Danio rerio: one gene and its partners. The main gene of each other region encodes a partner of the protein of the gene in region 3 in a complex. Links are inferred from orthologs where the notes say so. Each region holds a gene or a part of one and is shown on either strand. Other genes may lie near its edges.

Evidence for each region. Proteins that work in one complex are often made in the same cells at the same time.
Region 1: ercc2 (region 3) and gtf2a1 share a complex: the UniProt entries of both Homo sapiens proteins name them as parts of the TBP-based Pol II pre-initiation complex. The link is inferred for Danio rerio from reciprocal best matches to the Homo sapiens genes ERCC2 and GTF2A1.
Region 2: ercc2 (region 3) and polr2l share a complex: the UniProt entries of both Homo sapiens proteins name them as parts of the TBP-based Pol II pre-initiation complex. The link is inferred for Danio rerio from reciprocal best matches to the Homo sapiens genes ERCC2 and POLR2L.

What each region holds. Positions count from the first base shown.
Region 1 is NC_133195.1:17,672,199-17,677,403, forward strand, and holds the start of gtf2a1 (transcription initiation factor IIA subunit 1), read right to left. Parts: upstream 4,057-5,205; 5' UTR 3,877-4,056; coding exon 3,847-3,876; intron 1-3,846. UniProt on the Homo sapiens protein: TFIIA is a component of the transcription machinery of RNA polymerase II and plays an important role in transcriptional activation. TFIIA in a complex with TBP mediates transcriptional activity.
Region 2 is NC_133182.1:13,340,304-13,345,624, reverse strand, and holds the start of polr2l (DNA-directed RNA polymerases I, II, and III subunit RPABC5), read left to right. Parts: upstream 1-1,265; 5' UTR 1,266-1,339; intron 1,340-1,633; 5' UTR 1,634-1,650; coding exon 1,651-1,745; intron 1,746-5,321. UniProt on the Homo sapiens protein: DNA-dependent RNA polymerase catalyzes the transcription of DNA into RNA using the four ribonucleoside triphosphates as substrates.
Region 3 is NC_133190.1:26,155,133-26,161,757, forward strand, and holds the start of ercc2 (general transcription and DNA repair factor IIH helicase subunit XPD), read right to left. Parts: upstream 4,029-6,625; 5' UTR 3,842-4,028; coding exon 3,837-3,841; intron 3,702-3,836; coding exon 3,602-3,701; intron 1,977-3,601; coding exon 1,899-1,976; intron 1,707-1,898; coding exon 1,644-1,706; intron 1,526-1,643; coding exon 1,412-1,525; intron 1,322-1,411; coding exon 1,205-1,321; intron 1,001-1,204; coding exon 884-1,000; intron 801-883; coding exon 677-800; intron 587-676; coding exon 490-586; intron 394-489; coding exon 260-393; intron 1-259. UniProt on the Homo sapiens protein: ATP-dependent 5'-3' DNA helicase. Component of the general transcription and DNA repair factor IIH (TFIIH) core complex, not absolutely essential for minimal transcription in vitro.

The DNA of each region.
Region 1 (5,205 bases), on a different chromosome or scaffold from region 3:
AATTTTTAAATGGCCCAGATGGAAAAGTTTTTTTATTTGACCTCTCAAAAAAAAAAAAAACTATAATTCAGTACATTTAATAACACAATAATGAACTATTCAAATGTATTATTTTTTTTCTAAGCTAAATATTTTAAATATTGTGTAAAAACAAACAATCTCTTGTATTTTTCCCCAACATAAACCTTCTTTAAATTAAAAAATACACTAAATCTATGGACAACAATCTGTCGGTGTCCTCGGCAGTAAATAGATGAAGAACCTTTAAACAAATGTTATTGTAAGGAAAATATTTAAATCGTTAAGATAGAGTTAAAAATGACCTTTTTATATACAAAGTTTATAGTTTTATTGAGATGGATTGTTGGTGATTGTATGGGTTTTGGCCAGACTGGGTAGGTATACATGAACAAAGGAAAATTAAGACCCGTTTAAAAGATTTAAGACCTACAACAAAATATTTCACTAAATTCAAGACTGTTAAGGCCTAAAATTTGGATTTTGAGAGGCATTTTAAGGCCCTGCAGAAACCCTAAATACCGTATATCAGAATATGATAGATTTGTTCATATTTCTGACATTTCTGACTCCTAAATATCCATTAGCAAGTACATGCATATTTATAAACAATGTGAATACTTCCATGAAGGTTGTATCAAATTATAACAATGTTGTGTTATATATATTATGTAACAACTATTGTGAGATATTAAAAACAAAAACATTTAAATGTTATTTATAAATGCACTTTATTCCTGTCTGTGATGCAAAACTGAATTTCCAGCATCATTACTCCAGTGTCACATGAAACATTAGAAATCAATCACTCTATTTTGACAATTTGCTGTTCTTTTATGATTATTCATGATCAGCTCAATTATTAATTGGAGCAATTTTTACCAAAACACTGAAACTGTTTCTACATTTTTTTGTGTAAGCATTAAGTAAGTATTTTAGAGTACTTTAGAAATGCTCAAATGTCGTTGATGTTTTTAAAACAATTATATTTGATTTAACAAAGTCACATGAGTGGTAATTTCATATATGAGACATCCATAACCAAGCTTTTCCCTCATGAATGCAAAACTATTTAATAAAATAAAGTCAATCTTGCTTGTTCTACAGAGAGCCACCTCTTATCCTTTTGATAAGCATTGTTTCTTTTGGGTTGTGCAATTTAATTCACATAATTTCTACATAGTATGTTTTATACTGTAAACTCACTAACTTTTTTGGTCACATGCATAATGCACGTTTATTTTCCTCAAAACATTTTCACAGATTAATATTTTCCTCATACTATAACTCTGTGGTTAGTTGTTGAAAAATATAAACAGATGTTTCAATATAATGTTAACATATGTGAATTTATATGTTTCTACTGCAAATGCCACATCCAGAATGCTGGAACTGCTTTATGATGGTTCCTATGAATGTTAAGCATTACTTCATTCATTTATTATAAGTATTTCAGCATAAAAGTAGCATTTTACAATGATCTTTGGCAGCTTGAGGAATGCTAAAAAAAACAATGAAATTACATCCTTACACTTGGTTCAAATGTATGAACATTTAAATGTCATTATCATCATTAAGACATTTATTTAGCCAAAATGGACAACTGTTCAAAATATTGAAACAATTTAGGATTTCCTTTAATAAAAATTGAAAATCTATGTGTAAAGTTGCTTTTAGATGATTAATAGAAGATATAAAATTAAGAATCTGACAGAATGGCGATCAATTCCAGCATTATGGATGTGACATTAGCAGCAAAAACCCAAAACTTTAATTTATTAAGAAAGTATATGTTAACATTTAATAACATTTGTTTATATTTTTCAAAACTACCAAACAGAGTTATTGGATCAGATAAAATATCTATCTGTATACATTGTATATATTTTAAATGAGAAAAATAAACGTGTTATGGATGTGACCAAAAAAAGTTAGCGAGTTTACAGTACAAACATACTTTGTAGAAATTCTGTCAATTAAACTGCACAACCCAAGAGAAATAATGGTAATCAAAAGGATAAGAGCTGGCCCACTATAGAATAAACATGATTGATTTTATTTTAATCGACGTTTTAGCATTTATGAGGGAAAGCTTCATTATGGATGTGACATCTCCGTTATGGATAGGACAGATGTGAAATTGGCACTTGTGTAACTGCGCTTAATCAAATAACTCCTTGAAAACAAAGACAAACATTTTTTTTTATTTTTTAGTACTGTAATATTCTTGCTTACACCAAAAATGTAGAAACAGTTTCCCTATTTTGGTTGTAGCTTCATTTTTCATGGCAAGGTTGACATTGCATGGAATTGCTCTGGTATACTTTTGTTATTTTGCTTTTTTAAAAAGTCAAGACATTTCTGAAGAAGAATAAAATTACTCAAACATCACTAAAAATGAAGTCCAGGCAAACTTAGAAATACGAACTTCAGTCATTTTTCCCCATATAGGCAATTATATATCCGTGTATATACACAGCTATATCGACTTGTATCTATACATTATTACTCAAATGTGTGCCTAAAGACTTTTGGTGGTTGACAAATACAAAAAAGGGGGTAATAAACAAATATATTCTACACTTGTCTTTATTGTACAGTTTGTTACAGTAGTGTACTAATTAAAGCACGTCAGGGATTCAAACAACACAATGCATGACGTAACTACGTAACAAAAACACCGATGTGTTTTTGTAGCGATTCTTTGTAATGAATCGTTCAAATGACATCCGCGGACACGAGTCCGACGTCCCGTTCAGCATTTGGACTGCTGGAAGCCCTATAAATACACACATGGGCTTCTTTAACATGTCCAATGCGGTTGCTGACTGTCGGAACGCGAATCATCCGTTTTGAGAGCACAGAAATAGCAGCACCCTTTAAAACTCTGATAAACGCGTGCGACGAAACCGAAAAACAACCCTGAAACGCATGCGCTTCCGGCAGCTGTCGACGCGATATGAGTAAAAAAGGTCCTTCTGTGTCTAATAAACACCATCGTTAATGTTGTATCGCTAAAAGCGAAGAGCAGCTCCCCGCATCACGTCTTGTCCGTACCGCGCGGCCGGTCCGCTCACTATTTAAAGCACAGTCTGGCGTTTATATGCACAGCCCGTGACGTAGCGCCGAGAAGCACCTTCCCATCCCGGGCAGTCTATATTAGAGCGTCGCTATGGCTGTATAAAACCAGCGACGGAAAGAAGGAGGGTCAGAGGCAACGGTAGCCATGATGAAACAGCATCGCCTGCACTGCGGAGGCTTCCGTGAACGTGAAAAACGTCTCGTATGAGGGTTTATAACCAAGGGATTCAGTTTTATATATTTTTTGGGGGGATGAATATTAAGATTCAAATTATGTAGGAAGGTTTTTAACACGCAGGACAAAACTTATATCCTGATATACATACAAAAACGAGCCGTTTTGGCTCAATTTCAGATGCATTTGTCGGGATCAAAGGGTGCTTTAGTAACAAACTAATATCGACGTATACTCGGATGACTGAATGGTCAAACACGGCAACAAAGCAGCAAGTCCGTGTTAGCTCAACAGAAATGCAATTTCTAGCACGTAATACTTAAAGCTGTGGATTCAAGCCACTGTGTTGTTTTCTTTCTCTATATAATCAGCAAACACTCACACACTTCCCTACAAAGCCCTCGACTGGAGCAGACCTGATAGGTGTACGTGTGTCTAAACGCTTTATTGTTGAAATAAACATGTGGGTTTGGTTAAAATGTTCTGCGTATCTCTCTCTATATATATATATATCTACAATGCTTGGACACGTGTGTGATTTCGAGAATGAGTGCCGTTTGTCTGATCCTTACCACTTGGTTCGAGTTAGCCGAGCTCGCCATTATGAGCGCAGTGAGGGGGAAAAACACACCGCGAATATCAAGCAAGGAGCCCCAGAAGCATTAAAAAAAGCACGGAAACATCTAAAACGTTTAAAAAGTTGACGGTTAAAGTTTCGGGAAATAAAAACACAGCTCTTTACGGTCTTATTCACAGTCCCAGGGCTGCAGCTCCCCAGCCGTCCGTCTTCTCCAGTCCTCCGCCTTTATATACGGAGCTGCGCGAGACACAGGGCAGGGTCAAGCGGGCATTGAGCGAAACATCGCGAGATCTCGACGAGAGCTCTTACCGTGCAGTCAGCTGATCCTAGATCATTCGCTGCGGAGGCGCGACCAAAACAGACAAGAGGTTTTTTCCTGCATAAGAAACTAACTTAATGTTACGCTATTTGCAGTTGTTGATTATTAAGCTTGATAATTTTTTATGAGACCAGATTTAAGACGAAATTATGTTTTAATCAATGTAAAAGTGTAACAGCCTTATTTCTCCCTCATTACAATGTTTCTGAGAGAAAATACTATCGTGCATTCAGTAAAATCTTTTAATATGCTTTACATGCATTGTTGCGGGTAACGCATTACAAGTAACGCGAGTTAAATAATAATATTACTTCTCTAAGTAACGAGTAAAGTAACGCATTACTTTTCAAAATTAAGTAACAATATCTGAGTTACTTTTTTAAAAAATGGAATGTGAGTTACTTTTTTAAATTAAGTTAATTAACTTTAAAAAAATTTGCTGACAACATTAAATCCCGCACACAATGAGAGGAACAGAGATAAACGAAGAATTAAGGCAGAGCCTTATATTATTATATATATTATTACTTTTTAATAAGGAAAAAAGTAAAAAAGTAACGAACATGTTGTTATAAACTTTCAGTCTTCTGTATAGCCTACGGGCAGGGTGCAAATTATACATTGACGGGGGTGGGGGTTGGTCAAGATTTTGTAGTTATGTTCAGTAATATGCCTTAGTGAACCCAATTCATATATTTCATTCAACTACATCTAATTTAACAATCAAACTGTTATTATGTTTTCAGTGTTTTGAGGAATATTAAGTTTATTGACATTTGTGATATTAAATAAACGGTGACAGGTTTGCCTAAAAGTAGCTTAAAGTGACATTTCAAGGCTTAACTTGGCTAACTGGGTAGGCAGGTTAGAGTATAGCCAAGATATTGTATAATGATGGTTTGTTCTGTAAACTATCAAAACATATAGCTTAAAGGTGCTAATAATTTTGACCTTAAAATTGATTTTAAAAAATTAAAAAACGTTTTTATTCTAGCCAAAATAAAACAAACAAAACTTTCTCCAGAAAAAAAT
Region 2 (5,321 bases), on a different chromosome or scaffold from region 3:
AAATCCAGGCATAACACTATGACAGGTATGACAACGCTTCAGATGACTGTTAGCCAACAGTTAATCAATCTGTCAGATTCTGGAGTGCATTACAGCTATAATGAATATAATAAATGAACTTAAAAAAACAAATACATTTATAGAGATGGGATATAAATATATAATTTTACTCACCTGGGAAATTAAGGCCACTTTAACAGTTTGTGAGCACAATTAAGTGCACACAGCATGCCATACTATCTGATAATTGTAGGAAATAATTCCAAAAGACAAATGACTGTGTAAAGCCAAAAAAAAACAATAATAAAAATACAATGTATATGCCAAGTTCAGCAGCTAATCAGTCGGAATCAGCTGAGGTGAAGTGACGTGACCAGCAAAAGACACTCAAGTGGCCACTCCCTTAATTATGCAGACTTAATTAAACCTAATAAATGCTAAACGGATGAGTAATAAAAAAATTCAGCCCCTCACAGTTGTCATGAAGAGTAGTATTAGCTATAAGCACCAAAACCATCTATTGTACCAGGCTTTAAACATGTTTTTATCAGCTGTAAAATTGGCCAGTTTAGCATTGCAGTCAGAGAACATGTGGAGTTGCTGGAGCAAGCCCCCAGAGGAGAGTCTATGTATTTTGTATTGGCTTCCCAATGGAGAGCCGGAGGTTGCTGCTTGGTTTTTACAGCGTACATAAGACGCCCTTATTCTGAAGTGTTGTAAAAGCTAAAATATAAGATGGTTTTGGGATATACATAATAATCATATTGCTATTAGCATTATATGTGCATAATATGTGTTATACATGTAGAGCTTTGCATGGTCAAGCACCCCAATATATTCAAGATCTATGGAACTCTCTCCCTATAGCACTGAGAACTCTGGGATCAGTTGATCTTTTTAAAAAGCATTTAAAGACGCATTGTTTTGGTCAAGCATTTAATTCATAGTATTAGTGTTTCTGTATTTGGATTTTTTACTTGTTTTAATGTGTTTTAACATGTTTTCTTTTATTGATATGTGTTCTTTTACTTGTTTTCTCTAATTGTAAAGCTATTTGTTACTCAACGTCTAGGAAAGGTGCTACATAAATAAATATTTTCTTGCTTACTTACTTTTACTTTTTAAAGATTATACCTCACACATTTTGAAGGAGTTTTCTCAACACCAGCCCGCCACTAAAACAAAAGAAGAAGAAAGTTTTCGTATGTTGCTCATTTCGCTTCACGGAACGTTTCCTATAACCTTGTTTTCACCCGAGCGTGTTAGAAAGACGCAACACGGAAGTCTATCTGTTATAAGCCGCGCAAGAGGAACGTGTGTAGCGTGCGAGATTGTTTTGGTAATGTTTTCTAATTTGCTCGCTTCTTTAGTCAAAATGAGAGGGTGTAATATTTGGGGTTTAGTTTTGAGTTCGCATATAAGGAAATAATCTCGAGCTGAACCGCACTGTCACGTATTCAGTGTTACTGTATGTTGCTGTAGACTGCTTCAGTGTTACATTCTTGTGTACATTTATAGCTCAACATCTATTAAGTTACTGAGTTTTGTGTTACTTGTATTCGTTATTACGCAGTCTGAATTGCACAAACTTGTGTGTTATTAAATAAACCTCTACATTTTTTTTTCAATTCAGGCAACTCGTCCTTCATCATGATCATCCCTGTTCGCTGCTTCACTTGTGGGAAAATTGTTGGGAACAAATGGGAGGCGTATTTGGGTCTCCTTCAAGCGGAGTATACAGAAGGGTACGTTTATGAAACTAAAATGTGTCCTAAATTCGTTTGTTTATTTATTTATTTATTTGTTTGTTTGGCTAAGGAGTAAAGCACTCCTTACTAGTCCTCTTTACTAACTTTAGTCAAAATATTGTGTTTGGGGTGCTCATGCGGACCGGTTGACTGGCAGCACGAATTTTGCCAGATTAATATGATTAATGTTATTATACAGATTACTATTATTATTAACAAAATAAAGCCAGCATTGGCCTTACATACAAGCATCAAACCAAACTGAATTTAAACAGATTTATTAAAAACCTGAAAAACGACTCTAAGTTAAAGATTAATTGTGATTAGCCACATCCAAAATAAAAGTTTGTTTTGACATAAGCAATACTTGTGCATTATATATATTTATATAATTATTGTGTATGTGAAATACACTCATGCATAAAGGTATAGATTTTGCATAGATATTTAAAATTTATTATTTGCATCATATATATTTTATATGTAAATATAAATAATTATTTCCTTAAATGTATGCATCTTTATGTTTATATGTCCATAATAAGCATACACAATACACACACGTATTATGTAAAAAAAAAAAAAACATTTTTTTATGCGATTAATCACGATTAATTTTCCCCCAGCACTATGTGAAATACATCTTATAATTGAAAAACACCTGCAGCTAAAACAAACATTTTTAAGGAAATCTTTTATACATCAGCTATGACTATATTGAACAAATGACCATGAAGTAGTTTATATGTTGTTCTGTGACACTGTGAATCTGTTTGTGGTTTTAGAAACAGGGTTGTGTGTTGGTAATCCATGGTGTAGGAAGCCATATGATGTTTAGTAACATTTTGTGAGGCCAAATATGAATTTCCACATGTGTGGACAATAAAGACTGCTCATCTTTCTAATTAGAATTCTAATCTTTGGTCATACAGGCACATAGAAAAGCACCTTGTTATTTAAGTAATTCCCACAGCACTAAATTTCATTTAAAAAAAAAGTGCTGCTAGTTAATTATTATGGCTCAGATCATTATTTTGTCTGATTTTTTTCTTTTGTGGCAAGTTGCCATGTTATAAGTAAGATAATGTACTTACAATTGGCTATGCAAAAAAGCCATTCAGTCTTATAGGGCCATGAAACCTCCTTGTTTCAGAGGGTGTTTTCACACCTCTACTTTGGAAAAAGTCAGGAAAGTGGGCGTGTCCAGCTCTGTTTAGGAGGGAGTGTCGGAGGAGCAAATTAAAGAGGGTTCTGTAAAAATTTGCATAAAAATGGGAGTGTCATTTTGGGCACGTGCTGATTTTCAGAGTCAAAACACACACACACACACACACACAGGGGAGAAAGACTGACTGTGTTTACGTGGACATCAGTAATCAAATTATTTGACAAATTATTAAATGGTGGACATTAACTGCAGTTTGGCTCTTTTATTCAGGGAATATCTTCATGCCCCTCGTGACAAACGAGGTATTTGATTTGAGGAACTGCTCTAAGCTTGTATCTTTCATGCAATGTTTGATACGGCACAGCAAATGAGGGAAAAAAAACCTCTGAATTTCTCAATAACTTAGATGCACTCGGCAGGTAGGGTCAGAAAGTCGTGTGTGTTACTCCTGTCACAAAATGCAGTGAAAATCCTACACGATGGTAAGTTTGATTGTGGTGCTAACATGTTCACACTCCGTGTAACAGTTAGTTCGATACAAACTAACTTTGCCATCTGAAAAAGCAAAGGGCACTGTTCGCTCCCTTATCAAATCTGTAGAGACAGGACAAACAACACCAACTAGAGCCGCGTCTTTATTAAGAGGAGACGAGCGGCAAATCCGGATCTCACCATTTCCAGATGAGAAAAGTTCTCGGGTAAAAAAAAAAAAAAGTTCCTTAGACATGCATTGTTGTCGCATGCACTGTAATCCACACGTGGTCCAGCTGTGCGCTCATACAGAGAAAATGAAAACAAAACCTTCACTGCAGCAAATTATAAAAGCAACCCTTCACGCTTGTTTTGCCAACATAATGTGGCGTCTCTGCTGTCTGAACACTGTAACATTAATGAATGTTAGTGAAGTTGCACAATAGAGTGCGCTGATTGGTTTGAACCGAATCTTACTCGTGCATTAATGCAGCACACTTATAGACGTAATAAGACACTCCCAGGTACAGACGTCCAGTCTACACGCTGGAATACACGCTAAGATCTCATGGCCGTGACGCAGCTTAAAAAAATTGTTACAAACCGGAAGTACGAATTAGCTAGAAATAACGCAAAAACAACCAATTTTCACTTTTTAGTGAGATATATGTGTCTTAATAGTGTTTTTAGCAGTGTGGGACACTTATATGACTGTCAACAGCTCAAAAAATGTGTTTTGGTGTTTTGTGACCCTTTAAAAAATAGATTTTGTTTTTCATGAACAACTGGCTAGATGCATATTATCCTTTAAACCTTGTGCTGCAGGAGATGTTTTCATCTGCTTTGGGTGATTTTAAAGCTTAATTACGCCCCAACTTTCTCTGTTTCAGCAAATTGAATTATTTTTGGAGACAAATCTTATTTTGACACGCATTTTGGGAAAATGCTTTGAAAAGTTTTAAGACGTTTAACAATTACACTCTGGGCAAATTGACTACCCTTTCATTATGTTGCTGGCTGTTTTTACCCAATTTACTTCCATTGTAATGACATTTTTATGATTGCAAATTCATGACACCATATAATCATGCATTCTTGATTGTTGGAGGTTTTCCCTATTGGGAAGAGATAATTTTTGCCGATGATCATCAGTTGGCAGCATTAACCCTTTAGATAGGCTTGTGCAACAGAAGTTTCTGGCTTTTATATGGAATTCTGTGGAGAAAAACAACTAATTATAAAAGTGCATGCATAAATACACTTACTATGTTAACTATGCTCTGAGAGCTGATCAGCTGGTTTTGATTTTCTCCGATATATCAAGATAAGTGTGCAAAGGTCTCTCTCTTACACACACCATATACTCCATATAAAAACCAGGAACTAAGAATGTTTGCTCTGCAACCTGTTGATCAATTGTAAAAATTGATTCCTGCATCCTAACAGGGAAACCAGCTATATTTAAGAGTGCATGATTATATGGTTTCATGGCTTTGCAATCAAAAAATGTCATTATAATGAAAGTCGATGGGGAAAAAACAGCCTCAAACATAACGAAAGTGTAGTCAATTTGCCCAGAGTGTAATTGTTGAATTTTTGAAAATTTTCACAGCATTTTCCCAAAATATGAGAAAATAAGATTGTCCCCAAAAATCTTAACATTTTCTGAAACGGAGAAAGTTGTGGCCAAATTTAGGGTGTACTCACATTAGGTACTGTACAGTTGCCTTGAACCATGCCGAAGCGCGATTGTCCCATCGTACTGCACTCACATTGCATTTTTTAGCTACCGAACCTGAGCATGCATGCGTCATCGATGATGTGACTGTTCAGTTTAACAGAAAAAAGCTCAGCACTGGGGAGATTGCTTTAGTTATATCGTTTGAGTGTCACGCAGTCCAACATTTCCACGAGAAGATCAGCCACTTTTGACG
Region 3 (6,625 bases):
GATGGGTTGCAGCTGGAAGGGCAACCACTGCGTAAAACAAGTACTGGATAAGTTAGCGGTTCATTTCGCTGTGGCAACCCCAGATTAATAAAGGGACTAGGCCGAAAAGAAAAGGAATGAATTGGCTAATGCAGGACCACCTGTAATCAATCATAAGCAGGTGATCTCTGGAAATTAGTTTATAAATAAACTTCACTTAATTTATTATTTTTTTTTAAAGTCTATATGATTTGTAAGTTGTTAGATAACAAAATCTGACCTTGCAGGATTTCATCAGGCAGAACTGGATTGGACAGATAAATGTCAGTTTCTCTGGCAACATTAGCTTCTTTAAGACCCTCGACTAATCTTCTGTATTCTTCTCGAAGTTTGGCAGCATCTGTTTCTTTAATTCTTTAAAAGACAACAAGCAGAATGCAGGACATTAAACACATTAAAGGCATTAAGAAATGCAGAGGTTGCTTATTAATTCCCACTCTTTTGTCACACCTGCTAATGGTGTTTTGAAGGGTTTCCACATTGGTTTGGCAGCGATCCAGTGTCCTCCTGGTGATGTTGACGCTCATGGAATCAATACACACATTATCTAAAAGAAAACAATATGAGCTTAAATAACAATAATCTAGTCCACATGATGTATAAATCACAGTGATAAATATTGAAATGTGCTACTCACCAATGTTGTGAGCCTCATCGAACACGACAACTGATTTCTTTGCGAGCTCTTTCGAGACCAAGTCTGCGATTTTCGGATCTAGTAAGTAATGGTAGCTGTACACTACTATGTTTGCGTGAAGAAGCTGAATAAAGGAACATATGAGAGAGTGAAATAAATTACATGCACAGCAATTGCACATTATATTAACCTTAGCAAAGTACTCACTGCGTAACGTGCCAGGAAGTAAGGACACCAGCCTTTTCTACGCCCAAAGTCCTTCAGATCGTCCAAATTATATATACCAGGGGGAATGGGCACCTGTCTGCCTACATTATCAAATTCCTGCAAACAGGAACCAATTTCAAGCTATCATTATTTTTTTTTGTTTAAATGTGTTTATTATTATTATACTTTTTAAAAAACATTAAAATATAGAAAGAAACAGCAAAAATAGAAAGAAAAAATACACTTTACACTAGAAAAAAATAAAATAAAAAGTAAGAAAAACTGTGCCATGATTGTATATGCTTAGGAAATGTGTCCCACCTCATAAAACTGGCAGACAGGCTGATTTGGGTTACTCTGATGCTGCGCTCGAATATACGATGCTGTCAGACTGTGACATTTTCCATCTACTTCTTTTCCAAAACGCAGAGAGCTCACCTGTAGTCACACATTCAGTACTTTTTAATAAGATCACAGCACAGATTTTACTGAAATCACAGACAAATCTGCCCATTCAGCGGCCTCTACCTCAGGATGAATGCACAGGTTTTTCCTCGAGGAAAGTGCAAGGGCGAGGAAGTCGTTTTTTACTCCCGTTTGCTTTGAGTAATAATCCATCAGTTTCCTTAGCTCCTCCACAACCTGCAGGTAAATGAAAGATGCATAAAATAAAAATTAACATACGACATGTGTATTTAGAAAGCAAAAAAAAATGTATAAAAGGTAATAAACATCTATATCAAGTCAGTCAACAAAATACCTTCTCTATCTCAGGCACCGTGCGAGAGCAGTACACGAGCTTGGTGACTTCTAAAGGGTAAGTCTGTAAGAGATTAAACATTATATATATATATATATATATATATATATATATATATATATATATATATATATATATATATATATATATATATATATATATAATTATATATATAAATCAGGGATATTTTTAAAGCCATCAGACTGTCATTTAATAAAGTATTCAAATATTTAATCGTCGATCAAAATCCGTCACCTTCTGGTAAGCAACGATGAGCGAAAGAAGAGAAATAGTTTTTCCTGTTCCTGAGGGCATCTCCAGAACTCCATGACCCTTTACACACATAATAAAAACAAAATATGAAACAACTATACATAAGACAAACAATTTTTTTTTGTTTTTTATTGCTTTTTACTTTCACTCAGTCATGGCTCTGTTTAACATAAACATCCCATCCAACATCTCAGATAATGCGAGATTACAAAAAATGCATTCATAATCAGACTAAAAATGATGTGGTGAACTTTATTATTCCCACCAGGGGCAATTAAATTAGGGCAGTAGCATCATGATAACCTATAAATCCACACATTTGGTCTTTCTCCCTAATAATATACATTTCAGAAAAATATTCTTTGCAAATTCATATTTATAGGGAAACCATAATAGCATCCAATGACTTTTAAAGTACAACACTGTTCACTGTACAAAAAAGATTGTTTTGAAGTCATACTTACATAGGATTTTAGACCAAATATTCAAAGTACCATGGTAAAAAATAAAGGGAGGATGTCACGGAACGATTATGCGAATATAAAACCAACTTTACCTCAATAAAAATATTAGAGTAAAGCTGGTTTTATATTCACACATTCAGTCTTTCTCTCTAAAAATATTTTCAGAAAATTTTTCGGTCCCACTTTATATTAAGTGGCCTTTACTAACATGAACTTACACTGAAATTGAATCATTCGTTACACTTTACTTAATGAGTAAATATATGATTTTACATTGTACTTATGCTTGATTAAATATCTGCATGTAATTACATCTGTAATTAAATTCTGTAAGTACATTTATAATTACACTTTTTACCTGAACCAACTCTTAAACCAGCAAACCTTAAGACCACATTTCACTATACAAAAAAAGATTGCTAATGTTGTTTTGAAGTCATACTTACCTAGGATTGCAGACCAAATATTCAAAGTACCATGGTAAACAAAAAGGGAGCATGTCACTGAACAAATGTGTGAGTATAAAACCAACTTTATCTCAATTAAAACAGTAAAGTTGGTTTTATACCCACACATTCAGTCTTTTTCCCTAATATCATATTTTTAGAAAAATATTTTAGCAAACTCTAAATAGGGAAATCTTATTACCATGACTATCAAAGTACAACATTGTTCACTGCCTAAAAACATATAGCTAATGTTGTTTTGAAGTCATACTTTAATAGGATTTCACTCTGAATATTCAAATTACCATGGTAAACAATAAAGGGAGCATGTCACTGAACGAATGTGCTAATATAAAACCAACTTTACCTCAATTGTAAAAATAACGCTGTAAGAAGGAACAAAAAATACACTTTAAATTAGTTGTGTATCAACTATAGATGCATCTTTTGGCCTATGTCAAAACATCCAGCCACAATGTTAATATAGATCACTTCAATGTGGTGATATCTTTGGCCCATGAACATTTTCTGCTTGTTTCAAACTATTTCATAACTGTAACATGAGACAATTAAATCATAATTTAATGTTAAAACCGCTATCATGACATTATTTTACAATATATGGCTCTTTTTAAAATCTCAGAAAGTATGGACATTACAAATGGAAAACATGAAATACATTGAGACCATTGTTTTGGTTTACATCCCTGAAAATGGTCTATGTTGTTACATGATACAACATTAGTTTAATGTATGAGTGTCTGTGTATAAATACCTTTGCATCCAGCGTCCTCTTCAGCTCAAGCATATACGAGTATTGTTCGGGATAGATGTAGTCATACGGAAAGTAGACTAATAACCCGTCGATATTCAGCCTAATAGGATCAAATAGACATTAACGTTAGAGGAAAAACAAAACTTGTGTTAAATGAACAGCGGTTTGGGCCATTACCAGTCTGCAGATTTGCAGCAATGCTAACGTTAACAGTTAAAATTTACCGTTTACTTACTTCATGTTTGCTGGTATTGTTTCTCTGCAGCACTTAAGTGTTTCTCGTATTCAGTTTTGTATGTTTCCACACATTAATATAACTGTCATGAACGCATTACACAAAAAGACTTCTATCGAGGTACACAAGCGATCTCGGTAGCGTAAAACGCTGTCGCAGTGAAAGTGCGTAATCTATTTTGCTTAATTGATTGGTTGTTCGCTTCAAAGCCCGCCTTATCCTGTCAGCTCATTGGATGACACGCACGTCATGTCAATCCCTTGACGGAAGTACATTTGTCACCATTGGGGTTAATCAAAAAATATATATATAGAAAAGAAGTCCGCACTAAACTTTCGCTAAAATTGTGTAGGTTGTAATTTTCTTCACTACAAATATGACTGATTTTTTAAAACAAACAACAGTATTTTTTTCATGAAAAGTAAAATTTGATCAATTAAAAATATAGCCTATCACAGATTACACTAAATTATACTGTATTTTAAATAAACAAAGAAAAAAGAATGAAAAAAGCTAAGAAAAACGAAAAGCAGGTACAATTAGAGTGCATTGTAAACAAACAAGAAAAAAATAAAAACAAACAGAAAAGAGAAAAGCAAGTAGAGTACACTTAACTTACATTCATTCATTTTCCTTCAGCTTAGTCCCTTTATTCATCAGAGGTTGCTAAAGCGGAATGAATTAAAGATCTGAACTTCCCATCACTACTGTGTGTCTAACCTTAGAGGCAGCCATGCACACGATTTTACTTAAGGCTATCTTGTGGGCTGTTGTATTTGAATTTGAAGATGAGTAGGTGGTAGTGGTAGATGATAGTGGTCATGTGTCCTGTGAAAACATGTTTCAAAAAATTATTGTTGAGTTTTTATTTTACAATATTTATTGTATTTTGTACAATATTTATTGATTTTGAATCTTGTACATAGCAAATATCCCAATGTGCAAAAATAAATAAATAAATAAACAAAACTAAGCAACTATAAAATATGGAAACTAATAAAAACTAGTAAATCTACCTCTAAAAACTAATTAAAACTGATTTTGAAAACAAAAAGTCAAAACAAAATAAAAACTAAAACCAATAAAAAATCCAAAACTATAATAACCTTGCTGTGGAGGAAACCCACGCGAACAAGAGAAGAACATGCAAATTCCACACAGAAATGCCAACTGACCCAGCTGTGCTTCGAACCAGCGACCTTCTTGCTGTGAGGCGACAATGCTAACCACTGAGCCACTACTACTAAGCCCCCCTTCTAAAATGACATTTTTTAATACATATGAGGGGAAAAAAGAGAAAGAACCAAAGAAATGAGAACATTTTTCATTATTAATACAGGGGCATATTTTATATAATATATTTTATTTACATAAACATTTTTAAATCATATATTACAATGCAATAAAATATACAGTATTTCACCCTAACAAAGATTCATCTTCATGAAGTGATTTCCTTCGTACTCATAGGCCGGGTAAAGACCACAGTTTAGACATATTAAAATATTTGTATAAATCCATTTTGGGTCATTCTTTGACAATATTCACCTCAACAGAATAAAACTATACTTTCTAAACCTTTATGACAAACTTCCTGATATAACTACAGAGCCAAAATCCCAATTCCCTTCCCTGTAAAACGCAGCTTAATAAGTAACATCAAATATAAAAACAAACAAATTTTAATGCTCGATTATTTAACATATCCAATTGGGTCAAAATGACCAAAGCATCACATCACTGCTTTTGTGATGCCATCCACAGTTATAGCGTTAGCGTTCATCATGCTGTTCATTACTGTCATGACCTCTTCACCTTATGCAGATGAACTGATCACTGTATTTTTACAATGACAGAGTTGAAGTTATAAAGTTTATTGCCTGTTTTAGATGATTGCATCTAGGATCTGAATCAGCACTTTCAAGTCCGAGGCCATGGTGCTCCACCAGAAAAAGTTGTTTTGCCATCTTCAGGTTGGAGGAAAGTCTTTACCCCAGGTAGAGGAGCTCAAGCATCTTGGGGTTTTGTTCACGAGTGAGGGAAGGATGGAGCATGAGAGAGGCGGATTGGTGCAGCGGCAGCAGTAATGCGGTCAATGTACTTGTCCGTTGTGGTAAAGAAGTAGCTAAGTCGAAAGGCAAAGCTCTCGATTTACCGGTCAATCTACAATCCTACTCTTACCTATGGTCATGAGCTTTGGGTCCTGACCGAAAGGACAAGATCTCGGATACAAGTTACCAAAATGAGTTTCCTTCGCAGGGTTGCAGGGTTCACCCTTATAGATAGGGTGAGGAGCTCTGTCAACCAGGAGGAGCTCGGAGTAGAACCACTGCTCCTCCACATCGAGAGAAGTCAGCTGAGGTGGCTTGGGCATCTGTTTCGGATGCCTCCTGGACACCTACCTAGGGAGGTGTTCCAGACATGTCCCACCGGGAGGAGGCCTTGAGGAAGACCTAGGACACGCTGGAGGGACTGTGTCTCTTGGCTGGCCTGGGAACGCCTCGGGATCCCCACGGAGGAGCTGGAGGAAGTGTCTGGGGAGAGGGAAGACCTTAAGGCTGCTGCCCCCGCGACCCAGAAAAGCAGTTGAAAATGAATAAATGAATGAATGAATGAAGAAAATTGCATGTGGATAAAAATACTCTACTGGCACAACCAGATATTTTGCTAACATCCCAGTCCATTCAAAGTTCTTTAAAACAGGAATACCAAGATGGCTGACACCAGACATGATGCAATTTCAAACGTATGCAAACTGAGCTGGATGCGATGCTTTTGAAGCGCACACC